Linked DNA regions of Drosophila melanogaster. The protein of the gene in region 1 interacts with the protein of each later gene in a pairwise test. Each region holds a gene or a part of one and is shown in the gene's direction. Other genes may lie near its edges.

Evidence for each region.
Region 2: the proteins of Inx7 (region 1) and CG43732 interact in a two-hybrid assay, tested with the Drosophila melanogaster proteins (one large-scale study listed by BioGRID).

What each region holds. Positions count from the first base shown.
Region 1 is NC_004354.4:6,990,930-6,995,394, reverse strand, and holds Inx7 (innexin 7), read left to right. Parts: upstream 1-1,782; 5' UTR 1,783-1,981; coding exon 1,982-2,215; intron 2,216-2,512; coding exon 2,513-3,222; intron 3,223-3,292; coding exon 3,293-3,665; 3' UTR 3,666-3,783; downstream 3,784-4,465. UniProt on the Drosophila melanogaster protein: Structural components of the gap junctions.
Region 2 is NT_033777.3:18,948,184-18,953,493, forward strand, and holds the start of CG43732 (uncharacterized protein), read left to right. Parts: upstream 1-2,012; 5' UTR 2,013-2,420; intron 2,421-5,310.

The sequences.
Region 1 (4,465 bases):
ATTGTGGTTTGCTTTATTTAAATTTCATTGCAAAATGGCCAAAGACAAAAGAACGTGCATGGCCTATCAGTTTATATCAAAATCTGGGCTATGCCAATAAAGCAATGCGATTGTTATTTGAACATGAATCAATGAACTTTCGTCAACTGGGAGGCGTAAGCAAAAGCAAAAGTAGTAGCCGTAATCATAGCAATTTCCTGGGAAACCCAAGTAGAGGTAAATTCGAGCAGTCAACCGGCTAAAAATGTTGCAATTACTAATATAGTTAACTGGTCTCTAGTTACGCACGACTTATAAATGTTATATGTACGTATGTAAAGGGGCCATTTTTGACTATCTTATCCGGCAAAGTTTTGGAGCGGCCACTTGAGCGCTTAAGTAATAAGCACCAAAATACAATGCCTAGGCGAGCTATTTAGATAAGCAACAGATATATGTAGATACTTATGAGCTGATAGTGCGAATCTCTGTTGGAATTCCGTTACATTCTAGAAAGTAAGTAAGCCAGTCACTCGTTGTCTTTTCTGGGGATTGACTGGAAGATAAGATTGTCGGGGCCAAAGAATGAAATACAATAGTGCGCAGGGTGAATATCCACCTGATTGCCTTGCGTGGAACCTTGCAACGATATCGCCAAAAAGGCAAACAGCCGAGCAATAATCCATCTTAAGAAGAAGAGTCTCAGTAAGTATGTACATAGCCCTCTGTCTAGCACTGATCTGGGTCAATACGATAACGCCAAGCCGATATATGTCCGCTTATCCAATTACTGTCCCATCCATCAGAATAGGCAGTATTGAATCAATATGGGTGGCGATAGCGGCACGCTTTAAGACCCGGAGAGTTCCAGATTACGGCGGAATTTGCAATTCCACACTTGAATGATTTCAATGCAAGTCTCTATGGTTATTCTTAAAACCAAGTGATCATTTCTTGCATCACTAAGGGATTTTTGCTATGTTTTTGGAAGTGTAACTAATTTGCTGATATCCTGAATCTCTTGAGTCATATATGTACATATATATTTTCCCGCACTGATTCATATTTCCTATGATTGTTTGCTTGGTTATCTTGGCCTCTTTGCTCTTGGATCTTGGATGAATTTCGATGGGTGGGAAGTTACTCACCCACCCACCAGGGCGAGATTTAGCCAACTTACCGATGAGGTAAACCCTGAGAAAATGAGTATTATTTTCATAATTTCTTTCGCTCTTTCTGTGACTTTCGTCTTATCATTTTCGGATTCTTATGAAGCCACGAGCCGAATACATGCCGAAGTACTCATGTTTGGGCGAAATTTGAAATATGACCGAAAAACTTCGGAGTTTTCTTGGGTATCAAGAGAGCCCTACACTGAAAGAATTAAATTGCTAACATTTTAGACTGAAACCTAAGTGACAAAGATTGTGCCCCTCTCTCAGCTTATACTGCGAGTCAGAAGCTGAAAAAAATTTCTTTTTTTTTTCTCATAGTCCAATAGTCTACGTAAGTCCTGCTAAGTGTAGCGCACTCCAGTAGGTTCTCATATTTCCCTTACTCTTTTCTTGGACAACTCTGAACTAAACACAATACCATTGCTGATTCGGCATTTCCGTGTATTTCTGCCCGACGAAGTTATCTTATCGGGCCCGGGCGACTCTCCTGGCCAAAAATGAGCGGTCGATAAGGCGCCAGAAAGCCCTCTCCGACGAATGTGGAATGGTGATGAAGATCGGCGAACGGGGACCGGAGACCGGAGACCGAAGGTTCCGAGACCCGGAGACCAAGTGCAGAGTCTCGAGCCTTGCAGTTACGAGGAGCTAGCCGCGGCAAGCGGAGCGCACAAATCCATCCGAACCCAGAAGCCAGCCCGTTTCCAATTGCCACCCAGCCATAGTTGTCGTAATCATCGTAAGAAAGTGAACGAAGTAGAAGTGGGATCGGATCGGATCGGATCGGGGCCAGAACCTAACCCAAAACCGAAGATAACGAAGGCGTTACAATGCTGAACACCTTCAGTTCGGTGAGGCAGTACCTCAAGTTCGATCTCACGCGTGTGGTCATCGACAATATAGTGTTCAAGCTGCACTATCGATGGACCTTCGTAATACTCCTAGTGGCCACCCTCCTGATCACGTCGCGCCAGTACATCGGGGAGCACATCCAGTGCCTATCCGACGGTGTTGTGTCTCCGGTCATCAACACCTTCTGCTTCTTCACGCCCACCTTCACAGTGGTAAGTCAGCGGGGTCACAAAGGGAAAATTATAAGAGGTCACCAGGGAATTAAAAAAAATATCTATGTACGGGGTACACAGAAGTATCTATTGAGAGCAACTGTTATCAATACTCTATTTGATTATTGGTTAAAACTTAAATAGGGTTAATCGATTTAGAGTCGTTTTATTGCTATTAGTTGGTTGATATATGTTGCCACATACCCATTCCTGAAATGATCAAATGATAGAATAGATTTTATTTATGTGCCTTGGCGGCAGTAGATCATTTATTAACATAGCTTGCACCCCAAATAGGTACGTGACCAGAACCAAACTGCCTACAGGCCGGGAAGTGAGCCACCTGGTATAGGGGCATTCGATCCCGAAAAGGACACGATCAAGCGGCATGCATACTACCAGTGGGTGCCCTTTGTCCTGTTCTTCCAGGCTCTCTGCTTCTACATTCCCCATGCCCTGTGGAAGAGTTGGGAGGGCGGCCGGATCAAGGCCCTGGTCTTTGGCCTTCGAATGGTGGGTCTAACGAGGTACCTGAAGAACGATAGTCTGCGTATCGGCAAGCTGAACATTCCCTCGATGGCGGAGGCGGAGGAGCGGGTCAAGGACATTCGTCGCACAATGATCGACCGGATGCGGCTGAATCAATCGTGGGGTGCCCACTTGGTCTTCGCGGAGGTGCTCAATCTGATTAATCTTCTGCTGCAGATCACATGGACCAACCGTTTTTTGGGCGGTCAATTCCTCACACTGGGACCACATGCCCTGAAAAATCGGTGGTCCGACGAGCTGAGCGTTTTGGATCTAGTATTCCCGAAGATTACCAAGTGCAAGTTCCACAAATTTGGTGACTCTGGCTCCATTCAAATGCACGATGCCCTTTGCGTGATGGCGCTGAACATCATGAACGAGAAGATCTACATTATTCTGTGGTTCTGGTACGCCTTCCTTTTGATTGTTACTGTTCTGGGACTGCTTTGGAGAATTTTAACCCTGTGCTTCTACAGAAAGTGAGTGGATGGATATAGGTGTGAAATATGTTTTCATAATGTGATAACCCTTCTAACCCACTTTAATTAGTGTCACATTTACCCGCTGGTCTCTCTATTGGGCCAAGCCTGGCCAACTGGACGAAAACGAATTATTGGCGGTAATTGATAAGTGTAACTTTTCCAACTGGATGTTCCTTTTCTTCCTGCGCTCCAACCTTTCGGAGTTCCTATTCAAGAAGGTTATCTATCATTTGGCTAGTGAGTTCCCCAATCCCGATCACGATAACGATGTCAATGCCTATCGAGAGGCACCGCCCACGCCCGCTAAGAACCGTTATCCGGAGCTCAGTGGTCTGGATACGATTGATTCACCACTCTTGCACCTTCGACGCAATGGCTCGCCCTCTGCCGGCGGAGCCCAAGGGCCATCGACTTCGGATATGGCAAAGTTACCTGTATAATTTATGCATTTCAATTAACGCTAGGCAATTAATTATTGGAGCTTTGTCTTGTTTACACCTGTTTTTTTTTTATATATATATATGATCATTTCATTATAAATATATTTATTATTAAGAGACTCGGCTTTCAGCTTTATCCAACAGGTTTTTTTCGGGGCTCACATAAAGCAAAATCTCTCAAAATGGCCGACAGAAAAACAGTTATTTTGTGTGAGGTATTTTGAAAAAAAAAGTGGGTAAAAAGCACAACAAAACCAAAACCGACCAGACACCTTTCGGAGGGGCGTGTGGGCGTGGCCGACAGTTTGTGTCGAGTGGCGACTGCGGTTGGGTGACCCAGTTCGAGTGATCCGTTGTGGTTTCGAAAGTGTTTGTTACTGAGCTGCAGTGTTCAGTTCAGAGCTGGGTCACAGTTTGTACCCTCCCATCTGACTGTGAAGTTTCAATAGATGTGCATGACGGTATCCCCGATTACGGACGGTTCTCCAGGTGAGTTATTGCTACTGTAAGTTTTATATATTTTCTATGGTTTTGGGAAGTTTAAGTGGTTTTCATCGAAAACATCCAGAGATAGGAGGAACTCAACTTCTGAAGTCAACGCTTCCAGCTGCATTAAGACATTTACACATGCCGCTCTGTCATAACCAAGTCCATATTTGGACCGATTTCCATTTGACTTGCCCCCTTCCACCTCCCCCCCACCCCCCTACTACACAGATGCTCGGTTTCGACTGTCTTTAGCAATCAATTAGTACGAGAAGTTTTTGCACTTACTTTTGGCAGCAGTCGCCAAATCGGTG
Region 2 (5,310 bases), on another chromosome or scaffold:
CAAACTTTAATGGTTTAGCATGGCACTTTTCCCTTTAAACTTCTGTGAAAGTTGCTGCTGCCCTCCATAGTCCTGCTAAAAAATGTGTAACTCTCAACCAACTCATGTAAAACAATTTTCCTACGTCCTAATTGGCAAGTCTCGAGTGTCCACTAGCTGGCTTTTAGCCTGCCAGTTTTAAAGACCCCACTGAGTGCTCACTGTAGTCGTCGGCTGGGCTGGTAAATAAATAATTGAAACTGTCGAAGAACATTTGCAAATCTGGCCAAACAACAACTGAGCTCATTATTTATGTACGCAGCCAAATATGTATCGACTGCCAAAGGCAATGGAAAAAAATTTAATGACCGGCAAAAGTGAGCGTCCCCCGGCAGGAAGGAAGCAATCCGCTCCGGCACCCCAGTCCCTGCCCCTTTCGGATCTGAGTTATCTCTTTTTCATTTTCGGTTTTTCAAACTCTTTGTGTGACAGTTTTTATATATATATATTTATTTTTTTCTACATTTGAGGGGCTGGTCATTTTTCAGAGCACGCACAAAGGCAAATTTATAACAAAGTTGGGGTCAAACGGGGCTGAGGCCGAGAAGACAATGCGCTAGGCGGTCTTAATTGCTTCCCGGCCGCAAAAACAATAACAGCATATTTCTGGAAGAACCCTTTTCGAGGTCTTTGTTGCTGCCTTGGCAAACTTATTAATTAAACGCGCTCATAATTATTTAAGACCGGCTGCCGCCGGAGCAAATTCAATCTGTGATCATTGCCCCCGATAGGCAGAGCTGCAGTAATCAGAGTTAGAGGAGCAGAATCCCCCCCCTGCTCAGCTGCCTAATGTGGCAGAAGCGAAGGCAAACAAAAGCGGTGCCATTTCAAAAGAAATCAATGACAATTCGTTAAAGTTCCTCCCCGGGGTAACCGCTCTCCAATTTTCCAACCCATCCCACAGAACACTTCCCAGGACATCATCGACATTTGAGCAGCGATTAAAGACAATTGAAGCCGCAGATGCAGAGGCAGCATAAGTCTGCTGCTTTCTTATCAGTTGGCAGAGCTCTCTGGCTTTTCCACTCTCTCCATCGTTATCTCTCTCTTGTGGAAAAGCTCGCGCCTGCGCTGCCAGGCCAACGGTGTTATCATTTGCCAAGAGATTGGCGCTTATCAGTTGGCCAGTGAATGTTTGCTGGGTTATCCCGCCATTGTTTGGCCCAAATAAATCGCTGACTTGGCATGCCGGACGGAGCAGGGAAAGTCAAAGACGCCAGTGCCCCAGGCACAGGTCAAAGTATCTGCGATTCGATGCCTCGGACGAAGAGCAAGAAAAAAAAACAAAAGAACACACTGCCATTTATCTTGGGCGACGTTTTTGCCCTAATGAGATTTGCGCCAAATTAAATGAAATCGAAAATTAGGTGCGCCAAGCTCGTTGGCAATTTAAATTGAAGGCGGCAATTATCCGCACAAACGGCCAAGTCGGACCAAAACGGGAGGAGCATAATGAGCAGAAGCCGAAGTTAAACAAGATTCTCACCTGTCAGCTTTGGCACCACCTGATGGCCTGGCACCTGGAAACCTTCGGGTTTCACCTGAAATCTGCCACCTGCCAGCTGTCTCGAGTGGCGGCTTTGGTTTTGGCTTTGGATGGGCGATTAAAGCGCTCGTCGGCCACTCGAACAAACAGAATCGACGGCTCATTGAGCCGCAGCCAAATGAAATCCGGTGGCAAACAACTTGAAGGATCCACTCGAGAAGGAGGCGGAGGAGGAGGAGGCTGCGCCAAGGAGTCCTGGGGTCCTGAAGTAGAAAAAAGAAGTGCACAAAAACGAAATCATAGATTCAATTTGATTTATTTCGCTGCCGTACTATATTGGCGTTGGACTAACAGCCGTCTCTCGATTCAAATGGCAGAGCTTTCACTTGATGTCATCGCGGCGTGCTCTCTCGCTTTTCCTCCGAATTTTCCTCGCATTTTCCGACTTCACTCTCTGCCTTAAATGCCGTGGCAGCAGCCGAGCGTAGTCAGTCGATTTCAGTCGGCCGTGCGGCACACACACTCGCAACGCGCTTTTCAGCCAGCTCAATTCAGCTCCGGATTCCGCTTGCCACCAGCTTTTGAACGCGTCATTAATCGCATCGTGTGACAGGAGCCTCGAATCAGTTTTCCCAGCAACGCGCGCACTTTTCCCGCTTTTGACCACCGATTAAGGTCTCTTGTTCTTTCCGCCTTATCGCTTCGTCCTGTGCGTTTGCATTTTAATGTTTGCTTAAGCATTCCGTTTCGGTGTCAAAATCCAAAATCCAAAATCCGGCCAAACCAATCCCGGCGATAAGAAAAACCCTGGCCTGGCAAACGGAGAGCTCAACGCGGAATTGTTCGACACAAAAGTGAATTACAAATCAATTGAGAAAGCCCTCGGCAGCGAGACGTAAATATTCAAATGGAAACCGAATTACATATTCTTTTGAAATTGCCTTGGCTATGGTGCACAATTGAGATATTCGGCATTTATAAGATTGTGGAGTGGGCTATTTATGGTGATCAATCGGGGCAAAAGGCTGGGAGGTATTTTGCAGAATCACTTGGTAGGATTAAAGACATTTAAACATCATACTCGCTTAAAATTAAACAATGATGTTTGAAAGTCAGCAAAACCACTGCAATATTTAAGTTATGCCTCTTTTGTGCGCGTATACAATTTTAAATGCAAATGTTTTTTGGCAAACAATTCCAAATAAGAATACCTTAATCATTTATCACGAATGAAATTATTAAATGGAATTCACTTGTATAACAACTAAAATGAAAGTCACTCCGTGCTGTGTATTGAATTATTTATTGCCACACTTACAATGCTGCATTTCCATTTAATATCAACCTATGACACCTATTCCTTTGACCAAACGAGAATGGCCATGTAAATTGATTCTTGGAATCGGTCCACATGCCCATACGATTCACCAAAAAAAAAAAAAAAAATGCTCATTTCAGCAAAATTGGGTTTTATTTGCATTGAGCGAATGTTCCTTCGGATGAGTTCACGTTCAAGCTAACTCGCCATTTTCAAAAGCAAACATACAAATGCGTTATTAGTTCACATGCACAATGGCCATACATTCCTAATCGGTAACCCTGGCTGCTTTTTCTTGGAACGTCCTTAAACAGGAGAGGGCAATCTGGGCAACGAAAGGTTACAAAACGAACTGGAGGCAGACAATTGTTGGGGGATTTACAACATGGCCCTCGTATTGTTTGCAATGCAGCAATAAGTCTGGATAAATGCGGAAAAGACAGAAGAAAAAGGGACGATGGTGATGGCGATGGAAATGTGTCCACGGCAGTTATGACAACTTCTGCTGGGTCTCACCTGTTTCACCTGTTCGCCAGCTGCTTAATTGGAGTCACAGCCAAAGTCCGGGCGAACTTTCCGATTTCCGTTCCTGCAACGCGTGCCACTGACAAGTGACAGCTTCGATTTGAGGCAGGAGTAAACGCATTGCTCATCTTCCAATTCATTTTTTAGATCTGAATATACTCTTGTTTGATCCGAAAAAAAAGGGAAATGATCTGCGAAATAAAATTGTAGTTTTACTAGCAGAAGACGTGTTTTTCCGTTTACACTTTCAGCAAAAGATTAATTGAATTGAATGCAATATTTTTCAAGAGATTTATACTTTGATTTTCAACGAAACGATTTTGTTTAAAAATCGTTATTTTCGTTCACGCTTATTATAAACATGCTAATAACGGCAACCAATTATTCTAACCAATACTCAATATATTTGTAAACATTTTGTAAATTACTTTCCTTTTTAAATTCCGCTCACGTTTCACTATAAGCGATGGTTTATAGTCAGCCTGCCTACCTGAAATTGCAGCTTATTTAATAATTACTCACGAAAATCATTTTCGTAATTGACTATTTCTCACTCCGATGTCTATCCATACAGTCGATCATCAGATGAAAGTGCTTTCCCAGTTTCTTTGCCATATGCAAAGTAGTAAACGTACAAAAAAAAAGTGGGATTCAGTTGCAATTTGCATGCAGTTCGGCAATCGCTGCGAAATTGAAACGTGCCAAATGTGCAAACAGAGGGCCGCAATCGTTTTCCACCTTGTTTGGATAGCCAACCAGGTGATAAGCAAACATAACCCAAAGGGACTCCCGTGAAAAGTCGACTTGCGGGGTTGGCTGGGTTTTAAACTCAACCCTTTTTTCTTTTTCTTCGGCTAAGGTGGGCGGCACTGCCACTAAATCAGGCTACTTCCACCAGGTAATAGAGAGATACAATTTGCTACGTGTGGAAAATGCGAAGAAAGAAGAGACGAGTAACTTTGCAAATAATGTTACCCAGCCACTCGAATGTTTAGGAACCTTTACGCATAAATTATTTATTCATTTGCCGTCGCCGGGTTTTTATATGCATCGTTAAAATTTCTGTTTGGAATCTCAAAGTGAATTTTCGGGTCCGGAGCGAGCACCTTTGACCCGCCCCCCCCCAAAAAAAAAAAAACGGAAATAGGGTTTTTTACGTTGGCTATTTTATAATGAGCTGCACTGGATTCGCTTTCACAGTGCTAACCCGTTGCTCATATGGTTTTCCTTTGCGCCTTTGGTTCCTTGTTCAATTTTCACTTTTGCAAGCGATTTTCCCGACGGCTGCTCACGAGAAAAGCTACGTGCAAAACGGCTTTGAGTGGAGGGTGTGGTCTCCACTTTCGCAGCGAAAGTGTTTATTTATTTCAGTTTGTGTGCTAGAAATAAGTTTTATTTCCGTTTTTTTTACCATTCCGAACCAAAATTATAATAATAACCTGCGGCTGCGGGCCAACGTTGCGTATGAGCGATGTTTTTTCAAACCATATTCCCATTGAAAACGCCGACTCGAAACTAATTAGCGCCCTGTACGCCGAGTTCTTGTTGTTTTGAAGGCTTTCCGCAGCAGCATTGGCTTTTGCCAGTAGAAAGTAGCCAGCGTGTCCACGTCATGTGATATGAGCTGGGAAAATATTGTTAAAAATATGCTGCAACTTTTTCATTACATCAACTTGACGGCTGCGAAGTGAAAACTTTTTAGCAACCAGCAGGAGCAGGCGGAAAAGCGTGGAAAAAGGGGAAAGGCAAGCGGCTTTGCCAGCTGTGGATGCTGTTTCTTTAATTTGTATTTAGTTAGCGGACGATGCTAATGAGTTTGCTGATTAAAGAAGGGATCGTCTTTTGATGTGCCACCTCTGGAATGAAATTTGCACAAGGCTTACCAGCTTTAAGACCTTGTTAACTGGCGAAAAAACAAAAGACATAAATTATTTGGCATGCG